Linked DNA regions of Pelodiscus sinensis. The protein of the gene in region 2 purifies or fractionates together with the protein of the main gene of each other region. This does not show direct contact. Links are inferred from orthologs where the notes say so. Each region holds a gene or a part of one and is shown on either strand. Other genes may lie near its edges.

What was found. Proteins that work in one complex are often made in the same cells at the same time.
Region 1: the proteins of EIF3G (region 2) and EIF5 purify together in Homo sapiens (affinity purification with western blotting; 3 studies listed by BioGRID and IntAct, with this or other methods). This does not show direct contact. The link is inferred for Pelodiscus sinensis from reciprocal best matches to the Homo sapiens genes EIF3G and EIF5.

Annotation. Positions count from the first base shown.
Region 1 is NC_134714.1:20,702,772-20,710,073, reverse strand, and holds the start of EIF5 (eukaryotic translation initiation factor 5), read left to right. Parts: upstream 1-3,953; 5' UTR 3,954-4,109; intron 4,110-4,229; 5' UTR 4,230-4,423; intron 4,424-4,711; exon of another isoform or gene 4,712-4,890; intron 4,891-6,569; exon of another isoform or gene 6,570-6,708; 5' UTR 6,709-6,777; coding exon 6,778-6,849; intron 6,850-7,143; coding exon 7,144-7,225; intron 7,226-7,302.
Region 2 is NC_134729.1:14,995,877-15,003,765, forward strand, and holds the start of EIF3G (eukaryotic translation initiation factor 3 subunit G), read right to left. Parts: upstream 3,386-7,889; 5' UTR 3,247-3,385; coding exon 3,227-3,246; intron 2,841-3,226; coding exon 2,794-2,840; intron 2,272-2,793; coding exon 2,152-2,271; intron 2,071-2,151; coding exon 1,982-2,070; intron 1,387-1,981; coding exon 1,327-1,386; intron 1,050-1,326; coding exon 945-1,049; intron 752-944; coding exon 562-751; intron 1-561. Other genes in the region: DNMT1 (DNA (cytosine-5)-methyltransferase 1), read right to left, coding at 6,295-6,332, 6,737-6,827, 7,095-7,211, 7,327-7,490, 7,794-7,889. UniProt on the Homo sapiens protein: RNA-binding component of the eukaryotic translation initiation factor 3 (eIF-3) complex, which is required for several steps in the initiation of protein synthesis.

The DNA.
Region 1 (7,302 bases), on a different chromosome or scaffold from region 2:
TTCAAATGTGCCCACGAAAGCTCATGATACCATTGACATGTTTTGTTAGTCTTTAAAGTACTACAAAACTATTGTTGTTTAAGTTTATCCTGTACAGACTAACTTAGCTACCCGCTGAAGCGTTTAGGAGGAGTTCTTGAACAGACAGAACAGACAGATTCGCTCGCCCATAAACAAACTCTTTCAAATATATAATAGATTGCTTAATTTATAGCAGTGAACTGCAAAGCTTCATGTGGCCTGTACTTTGAAGGTCACACCAGTGATTTTAACCATGAACTTTGTGACTCATGAAGGCATGACTTTAAAGTGGGGGGGGGGAATGATTTCTGTCTCTTCAGAGCCAGTAGTTTCTAAATGAACACAATTACAATTACTTCCAGTCAGTAAAAGTACTTGAAATCTAAAGTCAGATTTTCTCAGATGAAATTAAAAATTTGCCCCCCAAAACAAAGAATCTACATTTATTTTTGGGTATATTTTATATAAAGATCACTAAAAAGTGATGTTCTTTGACAGCACTCATTGGATTAATGTGCTTGCACGATACATTCGGACTAACATTTTAAAAAATCTATTAAATTAGTTATAACACTATATATTTTATAAAATATAGATCTCATTTGCATCTCAATACCATGTAATCAGACCTGACTGGAGTTATTCATTAGGTCAAAATGCTGCAAATTCAAAGCCTCTGTTGAACCAGCCATGCTGTGATGTTGGCAGCAGCACACTTTTAGTAATTTATTAACTTCACATGTGTTGTACTATGAAGGAAAAGTCACAGAAAGGAGGCACTGAGAAAAATGATATGTCCAGGCATATTGTCACAGTAGAGGAATTTCTTGTTGTACATTTCTTGCATCTTGCATTCTGATTATTTTTTTCCTCTTGATAATTGTCTAGTCTCACATGTTTTGGAGATACATTTCCTTGTTTTGGATTTACATTTTAAGGCAGTTTTTAAAATCTTTGCCTTTTGAGGGAAATAATTATTTTGTGCACATTTTAAAGAAACATTTGAGGATTTTGTATGTCATCCTCAGACAATCAGAGCTCAACATAGTTCTGAATATTCATTTTATAGGCCAGTGTCTTGCCCTGAACACTAGCTATTCAGTAGGTTGAGAACTTGTATAACTAGGGCAGTAGCAGCCATGATGTAGGAGGGCCTTGTTAGAAGACAGCACTAAAAACTGAAAAACACACATTCTCTGGTAACTATACTCCAGCTCTGCTGCTACTGCTGAGGAACCCTGTTTTTCATTGTAATGTGTCACTGATCATGTCCTTAGTAGCCTGGCTTTTTCTTTGTGTCCTCTTGGAAAATCACATTTATCAGCCACCTTTGCACTTTGCTGTTCCTTTTTCCGACAGACCAAAAAAAAGCATTTCAGAGTCACAAAAGGTCCAACAAGAATATTCCCTCTGTCTATGATAACTTGGTACTAGTGATGGCCTAATGTAAACATGGCTTGGAAACCTAATCTTGTATACATTTTATTCTCTATTGTTATTAATCATTTTACTTTATTTCTGAAGTACTTCACTCCATCCTTTTCTTTTACCTTTGCCTAACACTCAAAATACTGTACAATATTAGCATTAAAATATGCCAAATGACAAGGACTAAGGTTTCTTCTGCTGTTATCTGAGTATATTTAAAAGGGAGCAAAGAACACTAAGACAGAGAAGTAATGAGTATATTTAATTGTATTGATAATATCTCAGTAATACCCATTTCAGGCCTTGCCACTTTTACATTATTTGTATTATACAATAATAAAAATATTAAATTCCTGCTTTATTAGGAGCCTTCAAAAACCCTAATGCTGGCTCTGTTTGGTACCATTTAGGGGGAGTGAAAAGGAACAAGGCATTAGTGGTAGCACCTAGCAATTAAGATACTGGGTTAGAAGGAGTGGAAGATGGGCAAAATGGGTTGAATTTCATGTCCTTTATAAGACTTAATATTTTTCAAAATAAGCTCCCAAAGCTAGCCCCACTCAGTGCCCCTATCCAGTGAGGAAGGGAGCTAGCAATATTGTTGACAGGAATTATAACTTCTGCCATCATAGGGAACAGAAAAATAGGGGTCAGAAAAGACAGGGCACAAGGCCTCCCTAGCATGAGGGGGCAGCAGGCAGACGAAGGAATGGAAGGGGTACAGATCCCCTGGTTTGGGGGAATGAGGGAACACATAAGGGCTGGGGCAAGAAACAGGGATTGTTCCGCTTTCTGGGCTTTCCCTGCTTTTATTAAAATTAAGACCGTATCCTGAAGACATCTCTGCTCATTTGTCCAGTAAAGAGGAGAGTTAGTAGTAATGGAGACTATATACGGCAGACCCAACTGGAGATTCATGCCCCTTTGTGGGGTTGGACCCTGCTCAGTGCCACATTCATACCACAACTAAGCTGGCAGAAATAAGGACAATAACTGTGTAACAGGGAGACCAGGGTTTTCATGTCTCTTTTGAGAGGCAAGACAAAAGTAGTAGGCTGCATGCCTGCTTCTAAAATTAGCTTTTTAAACCCCACTCCAGATGGGTTCTTTATTGGCTGAGCAAAATTAGGCCAGACATTGAAATTGATATTTCTCTGGCTGTATTGAAAGCAATAACTTTTGAACATGGCATTCAATCAATGTAAAAGCATCAGGGAATGTTATAGACATCAGTGGTCAAAATCCTGTTGATTTTAGGGAAAATGTACAAGGGGGACATACAGTGCCTGGTGGATCTGATTTGCAAACCCTTTCGTTCATCTTTGTAAGGCTTAGAGATCAAAGAACTGGTTAACAGCAGCCATCAGCACCTTCCAGCATAATAGAAATAGTTTAAAATGTTGACATACTGGGTGTGTCTAGACTACACATCTCTGTCGACAGAGAGATGTACATTAGGCACATCGAAATTGCTAATGAAGCTGGGATTTAATTATCCTGTGCCTCATTAGCATAAACATGGCTGCCGCTTTTTTTAAACTGAGTTTTTTTAGAAAAAAACGGCAGTGTAGATGCGCATCTGTTGAAAATAAACCCTTTTCCGACAGCTCCTTTAAACACAGGGGCTACGAAAACACAGGAGCTGTCGAAAAAGGGTTTATTTTTGACAGATCCACGTCTAGATTGCCATTTTTTTCGAAAAAATTCTGTTTAGAAAAAAAGCGGTGGCCATTTTTATGCTAATGAGGCACAGTATATTTAAATCTCAGCTTCATTAGCAATTTTGCTATGCTTGATTTGTATCCCTCTGTGGACAGAAGGATGCAGTCTAGACATAGCCTCTGGCTTACCAAAAAGGGAGAAAGGAGGGATTGGGGAACCACATGGGAGTCCATGGCACAGGAGAAGAATAAAGGACTTTGGTATGGGGAAGGGGAGGCTATGTAGCCCTTGGCATGGGAGGAAAGGGGAGCCACAGTGCCCTGGCATATGGCAGTGAAGGGAGTGGGTGCATGCAGACTCTGCCACATCATCTATGGAAAAGAGGGGGCACAAGGAGCTTCTGTCATGGGGCGGCAGGCAGAGGAAGGAATGGGAAAGATTTAGAGCCCCTGGATGGGGGATGAGGGGACAACGAGCCCTTGGCAACAAGGACTGGGGCACTGATTGCAGGGGCTCTTTGCACTGGAGGGGTATTATGTACACAGGGCTTGGGGATACAAAGAGCCCCAGAAGGGTGCACTGCCTGAGCTTAGCCTCCAGAAACAAGGGAAGGGGACAACCCGTTTCCCAGCGGTGACCAGCACCATTTCTGAGCTCTCCCCTCACCCACCAGCAGCCAAAAAGACCAACCACCCTGCCTGCCCACCCCTCCCCCACTTGACGCACAGCCCCAGCAGCCTGGGCTCTTGAATGACTCATTCTTTTCTTCCTCCTCCTCCCCCCCCCCCTCTAGTTCTCGCGAGTTTTGACCTCTATAGACGCGATGTCCTTTAGAGCGCAGGGGGGAAAGAGAGGGGATTGATTGACACGAGCGACAGCCAATAATTTAGGCGGAGGGCGAGCGGCTAGCGAATGGCAGTGCGAGGGTGGTGCGGCCCGCCGCTGGCTGATTGATCCCAGCCGTGGCGTCGCTCAGTCGGAGCGAGAACATTCTAGAGGTGAGTACGCGGCAGCCATTGCAGGGGCGACCAGCAACCGCCCCCTTCGGCTTCAGCGGCGTCCGCCCCTCCCCTTCCCAGGTGCCGCCGTTCACGGTGCCCCTTGTGTCTCCCCCGCAGATTGACTGGCGCCGCCGCCGCCGCCGCTGCTGCTGATTCCGCCCGCCCCAGGACGCTCGGATCCGGCGGCTGCGGCGCCCGCCTCCTCTCCGCCCCGATATAAGCGCCCATCGGTCCCGTTCTCCTTAAAGACTCGGCTTCGTCGCAGCCCGGGGCGAGCAGCGTTGGGTTTATGTCTTTATTGGACGAAAACGGTGAGCGGCTGCCGGGGCGCGATCCGAGGGGGAGCGTCCCGGGGCGGGGGAGCGGGGTCCTCGCAGCCCCCTCGGGCGGCGGGCGAGGTTCTCGAGAAGCGGGGGCAACGGGTGGCGCTGACCGCCCCAGTCGTGGTGGCCTGTTCCCTGGTCCCCGTGCGACGAGGCAAAATGGCGGCCGCTGGGCCCGCGCCTCGTGATGCTTGGGGGGGGGGGGAAGCTGTGTGGCGCAGCTAGAAATCCGCAGCGTGGGGGGGCTGCCCTCCAGGGGTTACATCGGGAGGGGCGAGTTAGAGGGGAGATGCCGCGGAGGCCCCCGCATGCGCAATGGGGGCTGCCCCCCCCTCCCATTTTCTGTTTAGGGCTGACTCAGTGCTTCCCTTCGCTGCATTTATGAGTCATCCCATGGCTGAGGCGGGCGGAGGCTGCTCGCTCAGCGCGAAGGGATCCGGAGGCGGTGTCAGGAGGTGGGTGGAGGCTGCGGTCGGCGGCAGACAAAAGCCAGTCATGTGTCGGAGACCACACGCTTTCCTGTCTCCTTCTTCCTGAAGTACCTGGTTCCTCCATGACCGTGCAGCCACGTGTGTCGGCCACATGATGACTGCTTTCAAGGTGCTGTGGCAAGCACCTCTGGGAATGAAACTCAATCCACTGTGCTTAACCCCCACTCCCTCAAATACAAGGGTTCTTCATTGCTGCTCTTTGGCAAGACTAAGCCTGATTGTGTCAACTAGCTCCCATGGTGTAAGCTGGGGTTGTTTTTTTTTTTTTTTGCATAGTAAAACTCAAGGGCTCTCTAGTTTCTAAAGCTTAAAATTAGTCTAGTGGCACTCTAACAAATTTATTCATGTATTGGATTGTAGTCTTTCGTGAGCTACAGCTCACTTTCTTCTGAGGAAGTGTTGTGGCTCATGAAACCCTATGCTCTAATGCCCCACCAGATTCCTTGTTTTTGCCATGCAGACTAACAACTACCGCTCTGAAATCTTTTTTAAAATTAGCTTTCACTCCTAGGATTTTACATGTATTCTGGGGAAGAACTGTCTGTTATATTGGAAAGGGAGCTGTGAGCATGGTTAGGTGATCTAACTCTTTCTGGGGAGAATAAAAGTAGAGAAACTAAAGGTACCATTATTTGTCAAAACCAAGTTAACCTTTGTGGTATGCCATCCACTATACCCCATCCAGCTAACTGCCTTTCTTGATCAACTACTTTAAATGTGACTTCCAGGTAGTGCTACTAAGTATTGGGGAAACAGTGGGTTTTTTCCAGTATGGAAAAACGCATTCTTGCACAAAATGCCTGAAACTATAATGGCAACAAAACAGCGCATTTCTTTCAGAATAAGCTACTTGAACTAGCAATGTGTTAGTGTATCCAGTCATTCTAAATAACTGAAAAGATTAAACTTGTCTCGAGCAGTATCTCACTAACTGGTGAGTCAATATTTAATCACAGTACCATTAGAAAATAGGTAACCTTTTCGTAACAGCAAATATTTGGTGTAAGTGATGCAATAATAGGGTTCTTCTGAGATGCTTGGGAAGGATTGGGTCAGTCAATGAACATTTATGTGCCACAGAAGTAAGTCTAGAAATGTAAAACAGCTTAAATATTTGGAGCGTGTCTGGTAGTACTAGGTATTTCATGGCACTCTGGATAATTAGATGTAAGTAAACCAAACAGTTAAAAATTAGCCTGATCAGTAATACCATAACCAAGGGAACTTGAGGTCTGTTTTTTCTTTGACTGCTTTAGAAGAAGCCAGAAGACTTTGCATCCTGTGCCCCTTAATAGGCAAGGATGTTGTGTGTCATACTTTTCCCACCCATCTGATCATACAACATTCCTCTGATAACACTAGTAGGTGGAAACGGAGTGGGGAGAGGATGTTGCATCCTGTGTAAAGTTGGCATTTTGCAGAACAGCAGATGTTACAGTAGCAGATGTTCAGCTGCAGATCCTCAACAACAATTACACAGGCAAATATAACTAAATGCATAGGAAACTCTTGTTCTCCAAATAGTCTCACTTCTCCTGGTCACAACAAACTTCAGATCCAATAATGTCCTGCAGCATGAATATATTTGATGAAAGTTCAGCCTAAACTGTCCCCTTTATTTTTTTTAATTTATACACTTGCAGAGCTGTTGCGCAGCCATTGGTACCTGTATTGGGGGAACATAGCATACAAGCAAGAACCTTACAGCCTCAGTGGCAAAAACTTTTTCATGTCAGAGACCGAGAACTCTTGCAGTCGTTTATGTCATCCCGTCTTCTCCAGACAGAAGATACCAAAAAGCTGCAATCAAAGATCTCTTCATCTTATTGATAAAGCTACTAATAAGACAAAATGTCTGTCAATGTCAACCGCAGTGTTTCAGATCAGTTCTATCGCTACAAAATGCCCCGTCTGATTGCAAAGGTAATGCTTCCTGATCTCTAAAGTTTGTTATTTTATAGAGCTTTTTATTGACGTATCTTTTCTAAGCATTTTGAATCAGTATTGTTCCCACTTTTTTTCGAAAAACAATGATATGAAGTGACTTGACCAAGGTCACACAGTAGGTAAATGGCAGAGCTGGGAATAATGGACACCAGCTGTCCTGAGTGTTAATACAATGCTTTGTCACTATACTCTAAGTTTTCTTTAATACTGATACTGCTTTTAAACAGTGTTATAGTGACATAAATATCTGAGTTTAACTTTTCCCCTTAGGTTGAGGGCAAAGGAAATGGAATAAAGACAGTTATAGTCAACATGGTTGACGTTGCAAAGGCGCTTAATCGGCCTCCAACGTGTAAGTAACATGAAATTCTGTAATCTAAGGGAGGGGTGGTCCTTGTTGGGTGCTGTGTAAAAATCATGTTGAGAAAG
Region 2 (7,889 bases):
TGTGACCAGACCTCGCTCAGCACGCCGGGCAGCCTGGACCCCGCAGACCCCTCTGGGCTACAGCGAGTGACTCCTGGCGGGCCGGGGCTGGGCTGGCAGAGTCGGGAGTTAGCTGGGTCAGGCAGCCTCTGCTCCGGCTGTGGCCTAGGGGTGACACGGGGTTCACGGCCTGGCTTCCCGGTGCCGGGTTTATGGCCCCGGCTGGCGCTCACACTGCCAGCGGGAGATGACTCACGAGCTGCCTGGGAAGAGGCAGAGCAGCCACGCCAGGGGTGGGCTAGTCAACGAGCTGGCAAGGCGGGTTAAGCTCTGGGTGCGGCCAGGCGGGCGGACTCAATTGCACCCAGACCCGGAGCAGCAGGGGCGCCTGGCACTGGGGGACCCAGTGGGAGCATACAGCAAGGCAGCACAGCCAGGTTCACTAAGCCTTCACATAGCCCCAGATCTCTGGACACAGCCCCCTGCCCATCTCCCACGCCTGGGGACCTGCCTTGCCCCCGCTGGCCAGCCCACAGTCAAGCCAGAGTGCCCCATTGTGCCCCCTGCCCTCCCCAGCCGCACCTCCTGGGAGCTTCTCCTTCTCGCCCGTAGACAGGCCCAGCTGCTCGGCCAGCTCCTTCTGCATGGGGCCCAGCGTGTCCTTGTAGGGGCAGCGCGTCGTCCAGTGGTCGCCCTTGCAGATCCGGCACGACACGATCTTCTGCCCCTTCAGCTTGTTCATGGGGTCCTCCTCCTCCTGGCAGTTCAGGTCCTACAGCAGAGGGGGAGCCCCGTCAGCCCCACGGCGCCCTCCTCGCCAGGGGCAGGGCCCCGGACTCCACCCCGGCGAGCCTGGACTCCCCCCGCCTCTTAGAGCAGCCCAGCTCCAACGCACGGGGGCAGGAGGGCCCATGGGTTGCTGTCAGAGCCCTGGGCCCCCCCGCCACTCCCCGCTCTGCCCTCACCTCCTTGCTGGTGATGAAGGTCATGAAGACGTCATCGCTCACGGTGGTCGTGGCCACGTTGGGGCCCGGAGCGTCGAACTCGGAGTTGCCGAATTTCTTCCAGTTCTGGGCAAGAGCCAATGAGCTGGTGGGGGAGGGGCTGAGGAGACCGTCCCCCCGTTCCCCACACGCACTCCCTGGGCCTTGCCGTCTCAGGCCCTGACACCAAGCGTCCTGCAGGCACGGGAGCCCCGGCTGACACCGGGACCCAGCTCTGCTGCCCAGCAGGTCAAGGGGCTCCCAGGGGAGCAGTGGGGTGGGACTAGGCTGGGGCACTTCCCAGCGCCCTGCACACACCTGTGATCCCACCCCCCGGCCAGCGGCCAGGGCCGAGCTCACTCACCTTCCGACGCGCCACAGCCTTAGAGGCCTTCCTGGTCTCAATGCGGAAGGTGCGGATGATCTGGGACATAAGCACAGAAGAGCAGCCCGGCGGGGTCAGACCAACGGCCCACCCAGCCCAGGGTCCGGGCTGCCGACAGCGGCCACTGCCAGACGCCCCAGCGGGACCGGACAGAGCCCTCCAGTGAGCCGCCCCCCTTGCCCATTCCCAGCCTCTGACAGAGGCCAGAGACTCCATTTCTAGCCACCCTGGCCCTTGGCTCTGGACTCAGCAGCCCCCTGGCTCTGCGAGCTCCTTTCGAGGCCTTTCCCGGCTGCTTTGGACTGACCACAGTACCAGTCGCTGAGAGCCCTGGGGTCAGGTGGGGTCACAGCTTGCCGGGGGGGGCCTGCCACCCCATGCTCCAGCTGCCATGCCTGCCTGCCGGGCCATGGGGCAGGAGGGCCACAGGGCGCGTGGGGGCTTCGGAGGGGGGTGAGTCCTAGCAGGGCCAGTCCTTGCGATTAGGAGAAAGTGGCCGAGAAGCGAAAGCAAATGAAGCCCCAGACTGGGGAGCCCCACTGCTCAGGGGCTGGGAAGGGCTTTGCAGACGCAGGATTCCAGCCGGGAGCCCAGGGAACTCTAGGGCCTGCTCTCCAGCGCCCCCCCCACTCACCTTCACTTTGCGCCCATCCTCCTCCTCCCGGTACTCTGTGATGGTTTTGATGTTCCCGTTGATTAGCTCCTTTGGGGACGGGAGAGGACCTACAGAGGGAAGGGGAAGCCGGTAAGAACTGTGAGACCAGGTGCTCCTGGCAGGGGGTCCTGCACCCCGGCGGCTCTTACCTCCCTTCAGCAGCTCAGCATCTGCGCTCAGGTCCACGCTCTGGGGGGTCACGGTCGGGGTCACGCTCAGCCCCCCACTCAGGGGCAGGTCCTTCAGCAGCTCGCTAGTGACGCATTTGTCTGGGAAGAGAAGCGAGGTCGCGGCACTGATCTAAGGATGGGAGGGGAAGGACGCCCCCTCCGCCCCGGGGCTGGGAGAGGCTGCAACCAGCCTGCCCCCCCCGGCACAGAGCAACCAGCCTGCCCCCCCCTCCTCAGACCATCCCCCCCCCGGCACAGAGCAACCAGCCTGCCCCCCCCCAGACCATCCCCCCCCCCGGCACAGAGCAACCAGCCTGCCCCCCCCCTCAGACCATCCCCCCCCCCCGGCACAGAGCAACCAGCCTGCCCCCCCCTCCTCAGACCATCCCCCCCCCGGCACAGAGCAACCAGCCTGCCCCCCCCTCCTCAGACCCCCCCCCCCCAGGAGGAAGCCCCAGGGCAGGGGACCCCCAGGCTCTGGCCCTGCAGCAGCTCAGCGCAGTCACCCGCGTCCCGGCAAGTGGGGGGGCCCGGCCCCCGGGAGCTGCAGGCTCGAACCCGGCCCCCAGCCGGGAGGGGCGGGGGGGTCCGGGGGGGTCCCGGCGCGCGGGGGCTTCTCACCATCGTCGCCTTCCTCCTCCACCTGGTCCGCCCAGCTGGGCTTCGAGCTGCGGGACAGAGACAGTCACAGAGCGGCCCCCCCGAGAGACCCCCGGCCCCGCCCCCTCCGGCCCCGAGAGCCCCCCGAGAGCCCCCCGGCCCCGCCCCCCGAGAGCCCCCTCGGCTCCCCCCGGCCCCGCCCCCGAGAGACCCCCGGCCCCGCCCCGGCCCCGCCCCCCGAGAGCCCCCCGGCCCCCCCCGCCCCCGCGCCCCCCGAGAGACCCCCGGCCCCGCCCCGGCCCCGCCCCCCGAGAGCCCCCCCGGCCCCGCCCCGGCCCCGCCCCCCGAGAGCCCCCCGGCTCCCCCCGCCCCCCGAGAGCCCCCCCGGCCCCCGAGATCCCCCCCCGGCCCCGCCCCCCGAGAGCCCCCCGGCCCCCTCGGCTCCGCCCCTCACTCGTAGTCCCCCGTGGGCATGGCGGCGACGGCAGGACTCAGCCTCGCTCCCTCTCTCGCGCGGGCCGGAAGCGGAAGCGCGCGGGGCAGCGAGTCGCGGCTAGAGCGGCCCCGTGGGCATGGCGGCGCGGGGCCTGCTGGGAGAGGGCGTGGCGCTGCAGTGCATGCCGGGAGCCGCACCTGGCCGGGAGCGGGGAGGGGCGGAGCTGGCGCGGTACATGCCGGGAGACGCACCTGCTGCGGGGCTGTAGCGGCGGCGCCCCCTGCTGGGCGGGGTCCGGGCTCCCGCAGGGCGCAGCGCTGGGACCCCCGGCCATAGCGCACATGGGGGGGGCGCTGGGACCCCCCGGCCATAGCGCACATGGGGGGACGCTGGGACCCCCCGGCCATAGCGCACATGGGGGGCGCTGGGACCCCCCGGCCATAGCGCACATGGGGGGACGCTGGGACCCCCCGGCCATAGCGCACATGGGGGGACGCTGGGACCCCCGGCCATAGCGCACGTGGGGGGACGCTGGGACCCCCCGGCCATAGCGCACATGGGGGGCGCTGGGACCCCCGGCCATAGCGCACGTGGGGGGACGCTGGGACCCCCCGGCCATAGCGCACATGGGGGGCGCTGGGACCCCCGGCCATAGCGCGGGGGGGGGCGCTGGGACCCCCGGCCATAGCGCACATGGGGGGACGCTGGGACCCCCGGCCATAGCGCACATGGGGGGGCGCTGGGACCCCCGGCCATAGCGCACGTGGGGGGACGCTGGGACCCCCCGGCCATAGCGCACATGGGGGGGCGCTGGGACCCCCCGGCCATAGCGCACATGGGGGGGGCGCTGGGACCCCCCGGCCATAGCGCACATGGGGGGTGCTGGGACCCCCCGGCCATAGCGCACATGGGGGGTGCTGGGACCCCCCGGCCATAGCGCACGTGGGGGGACGCTGGGACCCCCCGGCCATAGCGCACATGGGGGGTGCTGGGACCCCCCGGCCATAGCGCACATGGGGGGCGCTGGGACCCCCGGCCATAGCACACATGCGGGGCGCTGGGACCCCCGGCCATAGCGCACATGGGGAGACGCTGCGGCTCCAAGGCACAGCCTACTAGGCAGCACTGCTCCAGCAAGCCTGCCCCAAGGTTGGAAACGTCAAAGGGAACAGCTGGGAACCGCGGGGCAGGGGCCAGGCCTCTCCCAGGGATCTGCCCTGCTGCTGAGCAGAGTCCGGCCTGCGTGTTCTCCCCTCGCTGGGGCAGGGGCAGCACGGCCCCAGGGCACGGCCCTGGGTTGTGAGCCCACCTCATAGACCGTTGCCGCCCCCGCCCCCCATTTCCCACCCCTCGTAGACCCGTGGGGCAGAGTGAGGCGCCAGTAGGAAAGGGAGGCGTGCAGGCTCCAGTTACGCCATTATTAAGTGCTCAGATGGTCCTAAGTTGGACGGGGCTGCGAGTGGGTCAATTCAAACTGATCCGGACAGACTGGAGAAATTGTCTAAGCTACATCGGGTGAAGTTTAAGAAGGAGAAACGCCAAGTGCTCCACTTAGGGAGGAACAATCCGTGTCTCTCACACAATGGGAAGTGACTGTCTAGGAGAGTTCGGCAGAAAGGGAGCCAGGGGTCAGAGTGGACCACAAGCTAAATGAGTCAGCAGCCTGACACTGTTGTAAAAAAAGCCAACGTGACTGTGCACTACATGAAGAATGATGAACGGTCTGGGGAACATGACGGATGAAGGGAGGCTGAAGGAATTGGCTTCGTTTAGTTTGGAAAGGAGATTTGAGAGGGGACATGAGAGCGGTTCTCAGGTATCTAAAAGGGTGTCATGAGGACAGAGAAAACTTGTTCTCCTTGGCCTCTGAGGACAGGACAAGAAGCACTGGGCTTAAACGGCAGCAAGGGAGGTTCAGGCTGGACATTAGGAAAGTTCCCAACTGTCAGAGGGGGTCAAACACTGGAATAAGTTGCCGGGGGAGGGGGGGGGGGGAGTTGTGGAATCTCCATCGCTCGTGATACTTAAGAGCAGGTTGGACAGACCTCTATCAGGGATGGTCTAGACCAGGGCTACTCAACACGTGGGCCACGTGGCTGTGACGTAGTGGGGGTACCTGGCTGGTTTCTATGCTGCTGGCTCTGGGGTAACCCCACTGGCTGCAGTTGGTACCACGGCCCAGCAAACCAGGATGAGTCATTATGCAAAGAGGGTCTCTCAACCTGTCTGACCAGCCACCCCCCATGGAGAGGAACAAAGGAAGGTGGATGCTGCCCTGGCTGGGGGGCAGGGCTGGAGGAGAGGTGGTTAGTTCCTGGCTGGAAAGCAGGGGAGAAGGAGCTGGGGAGGGGGCTGGGACTCCCCTATCTCAAGGGGGGCACTGAGGCCTCCTAGCCCCAGTTCCTGTAACCAGATGACATCTGTGCTGGGCTGTATCGTGGAGAAGCAATAAACTCCCCGCAACCCTGTGGAAGGCCTGGCCAGCCCAGGCACAAGCAGCAGAACGCAGAGTCCATGGAAAGACGGAGGCTTCTGAGAAACTGGAGACCCCGGCACCCTCCGGAGACATCTCGCTGTTCACAGGCGTGCTGCATTCGGGCCCCTCCGGGAGCAGCATGGAGCCCAGCGCCGCAGCGGTACAGCCATGGCCTCGTGCCGGCTGGGGGGGCGAGCAGGATCAGGGGGAGCCTGCAGCGCAGCAGCTTCCAGTCGGCGCCTCACACACGGCGCAGCAACAGCCGCCAGGAAGGGGAAGCAGAAGCGTCCCCGAGGGGATAATTTACAGGCGAGATTTATTTGAAGAAATATTACAACATATAAAAACTACAGAGTATTAATTGCCACTCGCAGGAAGTGGCTGATTATTTTCAATGCATAATAAAAACATCGTCCTTAAAATCCAGAATGCGGTGGGGCACTGCACAGCCGATCACGAATGATTAGTAGTGACACTTGGACCATCACACACAGCTCCCGCGGCGCCAGGGAGACGAACACGGAGACAGACCTCGTCACGGCAGCAAGCCCAACGAGAACAGAACACACGAAAATCAGTGCATGGTTGAGTCCGAGGCCGGGGACTCGGGCTAGTCCGCCACTTCCATCTTGGCTGCTTTGCTGGGCTCTGCCAAGGGCCAAGAGGGTCAACGTCACCCCAGGTCCCACTTCAGCCTGGCCCCCCAGCAAGGCTGAGAGTTGGGAGCCACTAGCCAGTCTGGGCAGCAGGCGGCGCCGTAACACGAACACCCACAAGCCGCCCGCTTTGAGACCCTGGCGGGGCGGCCTCCGGGTGCCACTCAGCCAGCTGCTCAGGGACCTTTCTAAAGCTGCGGCCCTGCCGATCCTCCCCCAAGCCGGGCCGGGCGGGGGCGTCGAGCGTGGGCAGCAGGCGGCCAAGGGGGAGAACAGACGCCAGCCCACTAGCCGAGGACAGACCGCCGAGCCCGCAGGAGGGCAGCCCCACGGTTCCGTTTTCACGTTCCCTCAGCACAGGCACAGAGGCCCGGAGTCCGCCCGCCCCCGAGGTACCTGTGGCCTCCTCTTTCATTTTCGCCGACACGCACGCCTTGATCTCCAGCCCGATGGATTTGGCCAGCGGCGGAGGCACCGCGTTCCCGACCTGCCGAGAGAGGGGGGAGCTCACACGGGCCCAGATCCGGCCACGAGCTCCCAGTGCGATCACACCCGTGACCCTCTGAGCCAGCCCCTCTCCCCCCCGGGACCCTGCTTCCCAGCCGCCTCTCTGCCCCCTGCTGCTGAGGCGGGGCGCTGGCCCTCCACCACTCACCTGCTTAGCCCCCCGCCCAGGAGCCCTCCCCCGCCGTGAACCTAGGGGTGGCGCTGGGCTCGGCTCCTGCGCGCAGACGCCCCGCCCGGCGACACCCACCTGCCTGTGTTTGTCCAGCACGTTCCCGAAGAGCCTGTAGGTGTCAGGGAAGCCCTGCGACCGCGCGCACTCCCGCACGCTCACCACCCGGTGCTGCTCCGGGTGAAGCACCCGGCCCTGGTAAAGAGAGGCAGCTGTGGCCAAGGGCCCGCACAGGAGGCTCTCGCCCACAAGGCCACGCTGTGTGGCCGCCTCCCCGCCCCCCAGCCCCTGCCAGGTCGCGCTCACCCACCTGCTTGCCCATGGGCTCCGGGTTGGTGACGGTGGTGCTGAAGAAGCCGTCCCACTCCAGCCGGCCGTACAGCCCCGCCCAGTGGTTGTGCCGGTTGCCGGTGTGGGGCAGGCACCAGGGGATGAGGGTGTTGAACTGCCGGTCTGCAGGGTCGCACGGTTTGCCTGCGGGAGAGACCAGAGCGCGGGGGTGTCCTGGGAACGTCGCTCGGCGCACACTGGAGGGCGGATGGCCAGGAAGCCGGGCGCACAGCCTGGCTCCTCCACATTGCAGCCCGCAGTACCCAGCGCCAAGGGCCCTGTGTTTAACCTCAAGATGGCAGCCCTGGGGATAGCCCAAGAGGCGCGCTCGCCCTCTGTGCTCGTTACAGCCAGACGGGCATTCCAGCCTCAAGGGAGGGAAGAATCAGCAGCGCCCCCCAACCCCTCCTTGCTGCACGCTCAGGCTCTGCGGGCACCCGCTTGTACCTTCCGCGCAGGAGCACACCCCCCGCAGCGCTCCCGTGCTGCTGCGCCCGTTCTTCTTCTCGTGGTGAGTGTAACGCAGCTTCCGCGTGGTGGTGC